Lepisosteus oculatus: one gene and its partner. The main gene of each other region encodes a partner of the protein of the gene in region 2 in a complex. Links are inferred from orthologs where the notes say so. Each region holds a gene or a part of one and is shown on either strand. Other genes may lie near its edges.

Region 1 (6,882 bases), on a different chromosome or scaffold from region 2:
GAATTTTAGCAACAGAAATATAGAAAGAGATATTTTGAAATGAACTTGCTTGGGTCTTTTTCCACTTTAAAAGTACATTATGGAGGTGACCGTTGACGGATATCTTAGTTACCCTAGTTGTTAAACTGGGTTCAAATACATGTCACTATTATAAATACCTTTCTGACATTAAGAAGTGGATTTCGATTTCCTCCTGTTCTGCATAACTACAAAAAATGCGATTAAACTGGAAATCGCTTTTTTTTTGCCATGTTACTTGTACTAGACATATACTTGAATATGTATTGGTGTATGAACTCATATGACTCTGCCAGGTCTAGAAAACACCAGTGTATTACTTCAGCATAGCCCGAGGGCCAAGTATCAAAATAAACTATTTCTCCGATATTTTCTCCGTGTTATTAGTAGAAGAGGCAGAACTGTTAGTACAAGCAGCAGAAACAGCAGCGGCTGTAGCAGAAGGGCCAGAAGTTGGCAAGTGGCCGTTTTCACACACCTCTGCGGAGAGCCGGTCGGTATGACCCCTTTAATACAGTCGAGGTGCAGCGCCGACAGGATTCTGATCAGCAGGTCCATCGCCTCCTTCCGCGGGGACGCTGGGGGCTCAGAGGAAACTCTCGGCGCATCTTGGAAGCGGAGAGGCGCAACACCTATCCCAGGCGGTAGCGCCTTTTTCCCAAGAAGGAAACGAAAACAAACCGACTGCTTCTGATGAAATTCCCGAGCGTGGGCTGTGAAATGATGAAAATGACCCCCGGTGCCTTTGTTTGGTGCCGCAAAAGTACGTTGCCACAGAATTCAACCTTGTCTGCTCCGAGAACAACACAAACATCCCCAGACTTGCTTGGAAAATCAATAGACGTAATTTTTGGTGAAATCTCCGATGAGAAATCTGAATCGCCCTGAGCCGAAAAAGTGGTTTAACCGGCAAAACAAGCTTGTCGAAGTCTTCATCTTTTCTTATTACCCTGCGTAAGCGGTGGTGTTCAGGGCTACGCTCAAGCTTAAACACAGCACTTGGGACAGGTTTTACGATTTTGCCACTGCCTCACACACCTTCACAAGCCTAACCTTAATAGTACTCTTAACACGAAGCCCCAAAACTAAAGCAGGTGACTGATCTTTGAGTCTTCGGCAAATAAGGACACTATGAGCCCTAGTTAGGGTTAGAGCGCATTCCATTTTTGCGCAAATACATTTGCTTTCGTTTTTTGACTCCTCAATTTCTGATTTATCCGTGGTTCTGACCGGTCATGGCCAGCAGATGCAGGACTGGTTGCCAGGAGCTGCTCTGCTGGAATCCAGTCAGGCCAGTACACCCACGGACAGGTTATGCTTGGAACGCCTGGAAGCCATTTTTGGCTCCTTAAATAGAAGTCGCCTTTGTCTGCTTTGGAGCCCAGATACGCCTTAGACTTGTTAAGCTTCTATGACGATAAGGTGTTTAGAGCAGGAGACAAATAAGCTTTAAAGTCAAACAAAAGCAGCACTAATGTTTGTTGACAAAAGGTTATGTTAAAATAACACATCTTAGAAAAAACGCATTGTGCCACAAAATTGTTTCTCCACTGGACTATTATTATCAAAGCATTTTTTTTTGTTTCTCCCTGTTATAGGTTGTTATACTGTGCTGTATTAACTACCTTAGAGTTTTTATCCAAATGTATGTATTTATTCATTATTGCAGTGTGGTGTCTCTGTGGATTAGGATCTGCACCTGTGGCTGGGAGGTTGCTGGTTCATATCCTGTGGCTGACAGAGGAATCCTACTCTGTTGGGCCCCTGAGCAAGTTCCTTAACCCCAACTGCTCCAGGGGTGCTGTATAAATGGCTGACCCTGCACTCTGACCCCCAGCTTCTCTCCCCCCATGTGTGGCCCATGGAGAGCAAGCTGGGGTCTGCGAAAAGACAAATTCCTACTAAAAGAAATTGTATATGGCCAATAAAGTTTCATGGCAAGCTATCTGAGAATACATCAAATGTGTAGTTTAATCAGAACATGGTGAAAGCACAATACAGGACACAGGTTTTAGAGACACTAGAATCAAGAGAAACCTCCACTCTATTTTTTGGACTGTGAGGATACCAGAGCACCCAGAGGAAACCCATGCAAATATAGAAAGAACATACAAACTCCCCACAGACTGCACACCAGGCCTGGAATTGAACCCTGGGCCACAGAGCTACAAGGCAGCAATGCTAACCAGTGCACCACCATGCTGCCAAAGAACAGCAGCCTCCTTAGTCCCACTGCAGGTTACCTACAAACACTAACATGAGTATTAACATGAATTCATTCAGCTAATGCTTTGATCCAAAGCAACTTACATCTGTACACATTAAATGAGCTGGGCATTTTTTGGTACCTCGCCCTGTGTCTGAATGCAACACAAAGAGGTAACGTTACAAAAAAGGAAACTTTGGAACCACCGTTATTACAAGGCTGCCAATAGCTAACTGATCCACAGATCTCATCCAACGGCATCTTGAAAGGTCCCACAGACTCAGCTTCAGCAATATGAGATGAGATGAGATGGACCTGGGGATGTTCACATGAAATTACCTGTTTACTTCAGCACAACTCACGGGAGTGCTGAAGCTCGCCAAGGGTAAATTGTTTCATGCCTTGGTATGAACTGAACAAGAAAACGAACATCTCTTGAAAATAAATCAAGTAAGCTGTAACTGTGTAACTCTCAAATACAAGAATAACACTTCACTGGAAAGCGCTCTGGAACCAGTAGGTGGCGCACTTTCCTCTGGTGGAGAATGTCCAACCCCTGCAGCAGTAAAATGACCAGGGGTCTGTGCTTGCAGGAGGTGTCGTCCTTCAGATAAGAGTTAAGCTGGGGTCTTGACTGCTTGATCATTAACGATCCTGTGGCACTTTTCAAAAGAGTAGGGCTGTCAACACCATGTCCTGTCCAAAGCCCACTTTGGGCTTCAACAATGTTACCTACGTAAATTTCCCTGCGTATCGAATTTGTGAAGCCGTTTTCTTGCTTCTCCACTCGTTGTGTAGTGGGACTCTGCTGGCACAGAATGTTGCCACATTACCCTGTTCAGTATTATAATCAGCTCTTGCAGTTTCACAGCACGGAGAAAATTGAACTAACAACTCATTCTGTCTTTTGAATATATAAACTCACGACATTAGCAGCCACTGACGGTCGGATCGTGCTTAACAGGGATCACCAGCATGGTGTACAAAGGAACAAGTAAGAGGTTTATTCCATACTGAAAAGAGAAAACACTATGTTTAGGCTGTGAAGCCTTCTTCTGGTGTGAGCAAGACAGGGCACACAGCAAAGATGAAAACCTGCATGAGAATAGTCAGCATATCAGCATGGTTTAGCTTTCTTTAACCAAAGAAGCAGGTGCTTGTTATAATTTTTAAATGATTGGCATATACTTTTATTGTACATTTCGAAGATAAATACATTTATCTCAAGCATACTAGACCAAAAATACTTTGGGGGGAGATTGATTAGAGACACATAGGAGAACTTACGACGCGCAATGTCACAAATCCAGAAAACCCTCAATGTCTACATGCCCTTCCTTTGGATAAACATCTGTGGTTGTGTATCACAAATATTGCGTACCTCACAAACCGGTTTTCTATCTCCGTATTTATTTAATACACTAACGAACTGTGAGAAATAGGAATGAAAATAAAGCAAGCCGTTTAGTACCGGATTTTGTTTGCGAATTTTGCACGTCTTTTTACTGATCCAGACAGAACGCGGATGGGTCAATTTGAGGTTTACAGAAATAGATTACAGGATTTTAATTCGCCTCCCTGTTAACAAACTTTTCCTTCGTTCCTCCGAACGCTAGATGGCGCTAAGAGAGACGGCGTGGCGGCGCTTTGCGGAAGTGCTGGCCTGGCGAGAAGGGGGGATACTTCCGTCGGATGCGTGCAAGCACGCAAGCTTCGATATGGCGGCGGGACCGATCTCTGAAAGAAATCAAGGTAAAACTGTGAAACTCCTTCAACGATGTTGTAACTCGGAGGTGAAGGGATGCGAGTGTAACAGAAGGTAGCAAAGGAAATAGAGTTGTGTGAAACTAGGGTTGAAGGGCGATGTGTTGTCGGTCCAGCTGGAGTCCTTCGTGTGCATGCTGTTCGGTTTTAAAATGGAACAATGAATTATAGGATTAAAAAGTTTGATATCCTGTCTAATGTTGTAATCGTGTAGTAATGAGAAATTATTATACTTCTCATCATCCAGTGAGCATCATATTGAACACATTTTGGATCACGGATATGCATTGCTTGATTGCAGATTGGAGGCTTTTTAAGAGGGAGGTAATACTTTCTCTTAGATCATCTATTTTAAAATCCTGGTTGTCCCATTTCTGTATTTTTGGCGAGGAATGTTGTTTACAGTGTTCCTTTCGCTGTGGTTAGGCGCTTAAAGAGGGGGAAGAAGGCGTTTTATCTGCTAACGGGCGAAAAGTCTGCGACTGTTTTCTTGGGAGCGTTAAAAGGTGTCTCTGATCTGCTGTCCTGGTCTGGTTTTCCGCTCTGTCTGTTAGTTATTCGAGGCCTCTCGCTAATCTGGCTGTATGAACGTGGGAAGTTGTCACAGCGAGAGTTTTGAATTGCAAAATCCCCGAAATGAAAGTCTCAACCAACACCGCCTCTTGAATACATAACCCAAGTCCTCCCTGGACAACATATTTTTTCTCCCCGTCATTTTGGGTCGTGAGAGCACTGTTCCGTCTCGGTGGATCAAGTTCGTTTGGGGGGACCCAGTATGTTCTTGTAGCGCAGGTCCAATATCCAAAAGGTTTGGGCGGTAGTTTTAAATGAACTGCGTCTAAGAGCTCGTGTTGAAAGGAGAAACGCACGGTGGTCGCCGTGTGTTGGTCTTGTATTCCAGCTGCGGATGAAACAGCGGCTCCTGCTTCTTGCAGTGTCTCCTTTCCCTGGACGTGGGAGGCCACAGTCGCTCTGAGTGGTGGCGGCCAAAGAATATTTTGTTTTGAACTGGGTTTTAAAACCCATTTCCACTCCCACAAGGGTTTTTCGACCCCTCCTGTCTTTGGTTTGTCATATTTGATCTGGAGGTCTCATCCAGCTGTTTCTTGAAAGACACTGTGGTGTAGGCTAAGTAACTCCACTCTCAAAAAGTGCCCCTTCCCCATTATATAATGCACTTCCACCCCCTGCTCTCAATCATTGATATACAAAGCAGAAGAGTGGTCCTAATACAGATCCTGGTGGTACCCCACTCATTACGTCTCTCCAGTTGGGGCAGTCATTCCTTATGTGGGCCTCTGCTGTTTGCTGTTTCCCATCCATTGACCAGTTCTGAGTCCAGGTCTGTGCATTTCCTTTGAATCTCACCGCTTGAAATTTGAGAATTAATCTTTTATGAAGAGCTTTATCAAAACCCATCTGAAACGATTCAAATGTCTTTCTGTGTGTCTGTTACGGCTGTTACTTATTCTAGGACCTGTGAAGTCCTACCTTATTCAAGATAGTTAAGCGTGACCTACCTGTTTAAAATCCATGCTGGTTATCCACAGGGATCCCTTTTCCATATAGATTATATCTAGATAGAAAAGTACTTTAATTCAAGGCTATTTGTGATAAAATGTGTCTCTGCCCCCTTTTCATTCTTTCTACATAGTATGGAATACATTGCACCTTAGATGTTAGACCTGTATACTTTTTTATTGTACAGGTGCTGCACATTACATTTTTATACACGTCTGTATTTAAAGTGTTAGTGATGCATCAAGTCAAGTTCAAGTTTATTGTCATTATACTCATATACAGGTATATGGTATAACGAAATGCTATTTAGCTAGCTCTCGGACGATAAGTAGTGCAAAGAAAAACAACAACAACAACAACAATACAATTGTATAACAAAAGAAAGACAGAGACAACAGGCAGTGTGCAAAACAACAAAAAGGTAACAGGTAATGTGCAAAAACAACATCAGATGTGCAAAAACATGCATCAACAGAATGAAATAAAGGATAGAAATGATGGGGAGTAAGCTTTTGACATGAGGTAGAGGTAGATTTCAGTGTGTGTTTGGGTTTTTGGTAGGAAAGAAGGCACTGTGAGGTTCAGATCGTAGGTGAGAGAGGCTGGGAGTTTAACAGTTTGATAGTGCGGGGGTCAAAACTGTCTCTTGAGTCTGGAAGTCCGGGCCCGAATGCTCCGGAACCGTTTTCCAGATGGTAGAGGGTCATACATTCTGTAGCTGTACATATTGTCTGTACATAGATATTGATCCAGCTGTAATTCCATAAATATTCTCACACCTGAAGAAGGCTCCACTGCCGAAACGTTGTTTTCTTTCTCCTCTTTTCAGCAGGGACTAAACCTTAAACTTGTTCCTTTGTAGCCTACGCATGCTGACGCAGCTCTCCACCTGAACTGTTCCATAAATATGAGCAGTAGCTGATTATCCTCGAAATATTGGTACTGCCACACAGTGTAAAATTTCTTAGTGCTGGGGACCTGATCAGCCATTTGCTAAAAATACCTAGTGAGGTATTCAGACATCATGATTGTCACTGATAAAAAAAGATGTATGAATTGAAAGAAGCTGAAAGGGCAGCAGAGCTTCTCTTTCCTGAGCATGTAGTAAGATTGTCCTTTTTCAACTTCCTGCTCTGTTTGCACCATTTTAGAAGAGAGCTTTGGAAAGAAGAACTCATCTGAGATTTGGAGTGCCTGGCAACAATCTCTTTCTATTCAATTTCTCCTTCTATGTTACACAGAGCTATCAGTCAGCATTCCTCCTGGGTCTTTTCACAGGCTGCACGCTAACTCACCTCCCCACTGTAACCCCTACAAAACCAGTCAAATCACATGACCTCCCCCCAGTCCCAAAGAACTGTTTCTAGAGAAAG
Region 2 (7,499 bases):
ACAATTTCTATTTTTGGTTTTTGCAAATCAGATTTGAGATGAAAAGATGAATATGAGGCATAAGCACTATAAATCTTTTTCACATCTTTTACCTTCTCTCAACAATTCAGATTTCAATATCCTTACAATATATTTCTCTAACTGAGTACTGTTTGTAGATTTCAAGAACTAAGACATTTTGTAACGTTTTTCAGAAATATGACTAAATAAATCATTAATGCAATTCTTATCAGTGACCTGTCGGAGTGTGCATTGATGAAGGGTCCCTAGTTTGAGAAGGTTGTTCCAGCAGCATCTGACTGCCAGTCCAATGGACGTGGAGGGCCCAGCTGCCCCAGTCTGGGAACCGCTCCTGTGTCCTCCCAGCATGCCCTCGGTGAAGCCACTGAAACTCTGCAGCAGCAGCACCAGCCTGGCAGCACAGACAACATCACTGCCTGTAAGTGGAACTCACACCATCACGCCTACAACACACACCAGCAGACACGGGCTGACACTTGGCAACAGATGTTGAGTTCTTGCTTTTTCAGTGCTCTGATGCTTTTTTTGTTTCTTTCACATGATTGCTGAGATGAACACTGTTAAAGGAGTAATATCCCCTGCTGAGAGAGAAACAATCAGACAGAGCAGCAGCAGGGCTCTGAGCTTATTGGGGTACTGCAAAGACACCTCAAAATCACATTTTTTACACTACAATCATTTGGTAAGTTAGGAAAGTAATGTGCTAATAAAGCAGTAATACCACCTTCAGATATTGTTTTGAAAAAGTCAAATGTTATTATTTATTACATTTGTTATTGATACAGATTTAAAATGTATTACAAGGACAAAGATCAAGAGGGACACCTCAGCAATCTTGTACTGGGCCTCCATTGTACTGAGCTACATTAGTATCGTAAATATTCAGTTGAAATTGTAGAAACATAAAGTACTTACTTAAAACAAAGGTGGGGGAACAGAATTAATTTCAAATTCACCGAAGGTTTTCACTTTTCATAGGGATTGCTTCGTATTAAACTCAAAATTAGTCTGTTTCCAATTTGAAAGCCACACTTTTTCTATCAAAGGCAACTCACTGCTGCCACCCAGTACAAGAAGCAGGAAGACAACACTTTGCGTTTATTTGAGCTCTCACTTTCTCAACTAAGTGTGTGGGTTATTCATAAAGGCTTAGTAAATACTGTGTGGACATGAAGTAGAAGGAACAGAACCTTACCTGTCCACAACCAGCTCCAGCAGCACGATATGGGAGTGCTGGTTGAACTCCTCCTCACCCTCCACAAAGTCATACTGCTCCAGGAGGGTCACCAGGTCTAGGTTACAGGACAGCTTGTCGGGGAACTTCCAGGAGGGACTGCGGATCGGGCCGGTGCGGGAGAACACATCCAGGACCGTGCCCTGGAGGTCAGTCAGGTCCCTCCGCAGGCTGTCCACGCAGTCCTGCCGGCCCAGCAGGTGGCTCATCTTCCCCAGCCTCCCAGTCTGCTGTCGCTCTCCAACCCTTCGAAGAAGCGTTTGCCAGCTGAGACCGAGTGCTGAGATGCACACAACAGCCCAGACCTCCACAGCCTCATGGTCTTCAGCGCTACTTCCCTAACACCCTTGACAACTGAAGACGGGTCTTTTTTCTGTTTTCTTTTCCTTTCAGCAGGAATAACCCTTTACCTGTTACTCTGCAGCCTGCGCAAGCCGACGCAGCTCCCTGCTGGAACTTCTACCTCCCTAACTCTTATTAAACGCTATTTTGATCCCTTTCGATTTTTCTAACCCAACAATAATCTTCTCATTTTTAAATCTATGCTACTTAATGCATCATGACTACTGTAATAATTTGCAATCCAGGCCCTAGAGGAGTACTGAAATTGGATCTAGACAGGAGCCTGTAGGTTTTATGGGAAAAACAAACTCTTCTATTACTAAAGGCTTGGAAACAATTGTAATTAAGACCAATTAATTGCGTTTTTCTTAATTGATTGATTGTCATTAAGCAGTCAGTGAGGAATGGAAACCAGAGGACCTTATAGCTTGCCAGGGCCAAGAGACAGAATCACTGTACTAGTGCATTCTCCACAATGTTTAGGAGTTTAAATATCAAAATGCATCAATGATCATCAATACAGATAGGCTTGATGGGAGAGGGGCAAGGGCTGCAGTACTGATTTGGGAAGCACTGCTGTGAAAGAGTACAAGGCTTTTGTTTTAATAAAAATACCTGACCGTCTAATTAAGTGGTTTTAGTCATGGTTGCAAAGAGCACCTGTGTCTTCTGGGTTTGACTAACTCAGTTTTGCATTACTTAACTGAATACTTGAGCTGTGTCCCTAAGTGCTCAAAACGATTGGAAATGTCTTAATGAGACAATTGTTAGTTCAATGTAGCCTCAATGACAAAGAGCAAAGCTGAAATGAAAGCCAGAAAAGACATCAGACCAAAACACACAAAACAAAACAAAGGCACAATAGACATATCTGACAAAACTAAATAAGGCATTTATTTAGGCAGGACCTACTATAACAAGTTGAGTCGATAATAGAGTACAACTATGAAACTGTATTGTTGAATCAAAACCTTCTGGCTGCTATCGCATATTAGTGTGGTGGATTGAAATTGAATACAGTCATGGCATGACTCAGTTGAATGTACTGTAAAGCAACGTATTGTTAAGAAGAGCTAACAAATTAATTAATATAAATAATAATCACAAAATCCATTAAGAGTAGAGTTACTTACCAGGATTACACTCCTCAGGCTCTTGTGACCCCTTTATATACATGTGATTGCTTCATTAGAGTATAAGTATAACTGAAGTTTCCTCCTTTAACATGCTCTAAAAAAGTATCATTTTCAGATTACTTACAAGTTTCGAATGGTAAATTGAAAACCCCAGAGCTGCAGTTCTGAAGACTATCAAAAAACCTAGAAGGAACAGTGAAATGTGAATTAAACCCAAGGGCACAAGTGGAGCCTACATGCATTTAAAACTGAGAACTGGAGGCCCTTCACTACGCAAAGGGTTGTGGAAGTAGTCTCCTGGTTAAATGTGGGGTAAATTAAATAATCACAAAATCAGACCGAACAAAACTCAGCACACACTGGAGTCATTAGAAACAGGGCTGACACTTGAGTCGGCAGTCTTCAGAGATTTACAGTAAGTCACAGCTCTCCGTTCAACATTCAGCTTGGTGACCATCGCTCTCGAAGTCACCAAAAAAGAAAAAAAGCAGACAAGCCAATGCACTTGCAGAAATCATGCTCCTGCTGCCGACACACAGTAAAAAATCAGATGATACATCAAGAAACACTTACTTGTCCTTACTCTATGGTCATTGCTAGAGCTTTCGTGTTTTTGCTCTTCTGTTTTCAGTTCGATGAAATACAGCGAAACGTCCCTGTTTTATTTGATCGTTATGCTCTTGAAATCCTCAAGCTTCCATCTGTTGTCCCCTATTTCCATGGAAACAACGGACAGGAAGTCGCCTGAGGATGACGTCATCTGAAACTCCAGCTGTCGAGCCATTTTATCAGGAGGCACTGGCTCGGACATTATTTGATTGCTAAGAATGACAACAGTTATAACGTAGCCTTTTTATCCAAGGCGACCTATAATTATATTCAGAATTATAGTGCCACGGAATTTTGAACTGGCCTTAATATTAATTTTGTTAGCTTTTCGCTTGTTTTTGTTTCTGTAAACGTGTATACATTTAATATTTTTTTAATATATATATATGTGTGCGGTTGGTAGCTCAGGATAAGGGCGCCTACAAAATTAAGACAAACATAAATAACTGTAAACATTATTTTTAATTTTGCAAAAACACACTGAAGAGCAGTAAATAGTTAACTGTTATTTAATGAAAAGCAACGACAGAAACAGTGAAGGCTGTGGAAACTATGGCGATACTGAGATGAAAAATATATTTCAAATATGTGGTACACAGGAAATTGCAATTGCTTGCAAGTCCAGCAGCCATATCACCCTGCAACTCACAACTGGCAACCCACTGAAGCTAAGCAGGTGTGAGCCTGGTTAGTACCTGGATAGGAGACCTCCTTGGAAAGCTAAGGCTGCTGCTGGAAGAGGTGTTAGTGGGGCCAGCAGGGGGCGCTCACCCTGCGGTCCATGTGGGTCCTAATGCCTCAGTATAGTGACGGGGACACTACACTGTAAACAGGTGCCGTCCTTCGGATGAGACGTAAAACCGAGATCCTGGCTCTTTGTGGTCATTAAAAATCTCAGGGCGTTTTTCGAAAAGAGTAGGGGTGTAACCCCGGCCTGGCCAAATTTCCCATTGGACCTTACCTAATAATCCCCCTTTATGATTTGGCTACATTACTTGTTCAGGCGCACTATAGCTGCCGTCGCATCATCCAGGTGGATGCTGCACATTGGTGGTGGAGGGGATCCCCATTACCTGTAAAGCGCTTTGAGTGGAGTGTCCAGAAAAGCGCAATATTAGTGTAAGCAATTATTATTATTAAGTCGGCCATCAGAGAACTGCATTTCCCACAATCCCAAGCGAGGGGCACTCCGGAAGAGGAGCTCCTTTCGTTTCCGGGTTACGAGAGTTACGCGAAACGAGTTCTTCGTTGCGGGCTGTAAACGAGGCCTTTTATATTTAAACATTACTGTTCCGTTCGATTCCATAATACGGCGAATCGAAGATACAAGGAAAAATTGGATTCAGTAGTCCGAGGACGCAAGTGATTCACCAAGACACGGAAACGCGGGTGTTTGGGTTGTCTTCGGCCCAGCACAGCCATGCCTGCCGGACCGGTGCAGATCGTGCAGCCGGAAACCAACAATAAGGTAACGGGTAGCTGCGAAGCGCTGCGGGCCTAAGTACGTGGTTTACCCGGGGTAAAACTGTACATACAAAAACAGCTACAAAAACTGTGTTCTGGTCCACGCAACGTGTCCATAGTAACTTCAGATCCAAAGAGTTTTGTTTTCTAATATTCCTGTAAAGAAACTTGTCGGTTTACATTCGCGCTCAGTGCAAATACATGTTCTGGGAGTTTTACCCTTGAGCTAAGAACTTTTCTCAGTGTAAAACAAGTCGGGTGCTTTTGGGTAGACCTGTGGAAGTCATCCGTAATTCGGGGGGATAATTGTAATATCTTCTGCGCGATAATAGTATACTGGGATGGTTGAGCCACACGAATACTAAACTCTAACTGTGCAAGAACGGGCGTGCTGCGAAGTTGACCGCCTGTGTTTTGGGGTTTTGAGATTTCGCTGTTTTTACATTTCGCGGTGTAGTGTCACAATGCATTGAAGAACTACACCCAGCAGTGTCTCTTTGCAGGCGGTGGATGTGACCTGTAGCCCTCAGTATCGGATTAATGTTCTGTTTTCACAGGTCGATGAAGCGAAAGAGGAATCGCCGGCTTCCAAGCCCATCGTGGGCATCATCTACCCCCCTCCGGAGGTCCGGAACATCGTCGATAAGACAGCCAGCTTTGTAGCCAGGTAGGCTGTTTCTTCTGATAACTTGGCAGCTCTCTCGATGCACCAGGTGGCACTATATTTAATTCTCTAAAAGAAAAAAAAAACACATTTTGGAACCATGATGGATGTACTAAATAGTTCTCTATTGTGTGTTGAGGTGTTTCTGAGGATTTCACTATAGGTACAACAGAACCCAGCGAGCCAGGTCCTGGGTCCCATTTAAAAAAATGATTATTACATTTGTAAAGGCAGATGTATTCTTAGAGGAACAATACAAAATCCATATGGCAAAAACAAAGATAACCAAACAAAAATGCATTTTGGAGTTAATGCAAAGTTGAACATGAGCTTTGAATTCAGCAAAACAAAAATTGCTCTTTTCTTTAATGAAGGTATCCATAACATAGCTGCATTTGTCGAAGTTCCAGGCGACTCTGAACTGAACGACTTGACTTGAAAAGATAGATGCATGTGGCTCCTCTTGGGAATTAGGTGCTGTCTCTCAGCTACAGCTGCTCCCTGCTCTGAGCTGCACAGCGCAGTGAATCCTGCTGCACTCAACGAGTGGCCTCCCACCGTGGGAGACTTGAGCACAGTTGGTGTCCTGTGGGGTCACGTCACCATAACAAGCTCACTGATTGAACCCTCGTGCAATATGCTGCAAGCCATTGTTGTTTCTGAACTCGCCCTGTAAGGGCATCTACGATTCCAGCATCCATTCCTTTCCTCTACCCTTGCAGAAACGGACCGGAGTTTGAGGCGAGGATTCGGCAGAACGAGATCAACAACCCCAAGTTCAACTTCCTGAACCCCAACGACCCCTACCATGCCTACTACCGGCACAAGGTCAACGAGTTCAAGGAGGGGAAGGCGCAGGAGCCCTCGGCCGCCGTGCCCAAGGTCATGCAGCAGCAGGCCCTGCAGCAGGCGCCCCAGCAGCAGCTCCCGCAGAAGGTAGGCTCGGGGGACCCCCTCCGCCCCCCACACTCGGAGACGACCTCGTGCTTTGTAACTAAGCGCAGTGGGCCTTGAGGCTCGGAAGGAACGAAGTCGTTGTGGATTTTGATTGTTCTGTTCTTGTCCCTTGAGTTCCGCAGGTTCGTTTTAATGGGTTTTTGAAAGCAGAACAAAAAAACGTGTTGTCAGTCAGTTTGTGATGCAACCAAATGGAACTTATAGGACTTGACTTTTAATAGGTGCATCAGAAGTGCTGTTGTTTCTTCACCACTGAACAGATGGTCACATCCTATGAGGCATTTCACCCTTTCAGGAAGAGCAAATCTCTATAGCTTGCCAAGTGAACAAAGATAATTTATTGATATGTTTATATGAGCCCCGTAAGTGGCTAAAAGTTATTTAGTTTCTGATCCATACATTATGGCTTGAACAGACTACTGATTTAACGCGATCCAATACACCGCAACAAGTGCAGAACGGTGTTCCCAAGCCCAGCTAACAGCTTCGCATCTTTGCAAGGTGCAAGCGCAGGTGATCCAAGAAACCGTGGTGCCGAAGGAGCCTCCCCCCGAGTACGAGTTCATCGCCGACCCCCCCTCCATCTCGGCCTTTGACCTGGATGTGGTGAAGCTCACGGCGCAGTTTGTTGCGCGCAACGGGCGGCAGTTCCTCACCCAGCTCATGCAGAAGGAGCAGCGCAACTACCAGTTCGACTTCCTGCGGCCCCAGCACAGCCTCTTCAACTACTTCACCAAGCTGGTGGAGCAGTACACCAAGGTAGAGGGAGCGCTCTCCTTCTGTATTATGACATTTATTTTATGCTTCTTCTGTTAAGGTATTTAATGACGTTGTAGTGACAGGAACTACAGTCAGTGATATAATTTCATAGATTATGTACTGTAGCAGCCCACTTTCATAAGTATGGACTCAAGCTGTGTGTGAGCAGTTCTATCCAGGTGTTCATTACTTCATGGACAATATATAAGATACTTCTTCCATCCCTTTTCAGTACCTTCTCAAAGCTCATCTTTTCACCACAGCCTGAAACCTTTGCATTGCTATGTATCGTATACAGACCCATTCACTGTTG

The links. Proteins that work in one complex are often made in the same cells at the same time.
Region 1: sf3a1 (region 2) and sf3b4 share a complex: the UniProt entries of both Homo sapiens proteins name them as parts of the 17S U2 SnRNP complex. The link is inferred for Lepisosteus oculatus from reciprocal best matches to the Homo sapiens genes SF3A1 and SF3B4.

Annotation. Positions count from the first base shown.
Region 1 is NC_090722.1:2,463,751-2,470,632, forward strand, and holds the start of sf3b4 (splicing factor 3B subunit 4), read left to right. Parts: upstream 1-3,878; 5' UTR 3,879-3,942; coding exon 3,943-3,976; intron 3,977-6,882. Other genes in the region: RING finger protein 225-like, read right to left, coding at 497-576. UniProt on the Homo sapiens protein: Component of the 17S U2 SnRNP complex of the spliceosome, a large ribonucleoprotein complex that removes introns from transcribed pre-mRNAs.
Region 2 is NC_090717.1:13,808,379-13,815,877, forward strand, and holds the start of sf3a1 (splicing factor 3A subunit 1), read left to right. Parts: upstream 1-4,493; 5' UTR 4,494-4,762; coding exon 4,763-4,810; intron 4,811-5,363; coding exon 5,364-5,473; intron 5,474-6,192; coding exon 6,193-6,406; intron 6,407-6,928; coding exon 6,929-7,186; intron 7,187-7,499. Other genes in the region: ccdc157 (coiled-coil domain-containing protein 157), read right to left, coding at 238-412, 1,217-1,464. UniProt on the Homo sapiens protein: Component of the 17S U2 SnRNP complex of the spliceosome, a large ribonucleoprotein complex that removes introns from transcribed pre-mRNAs.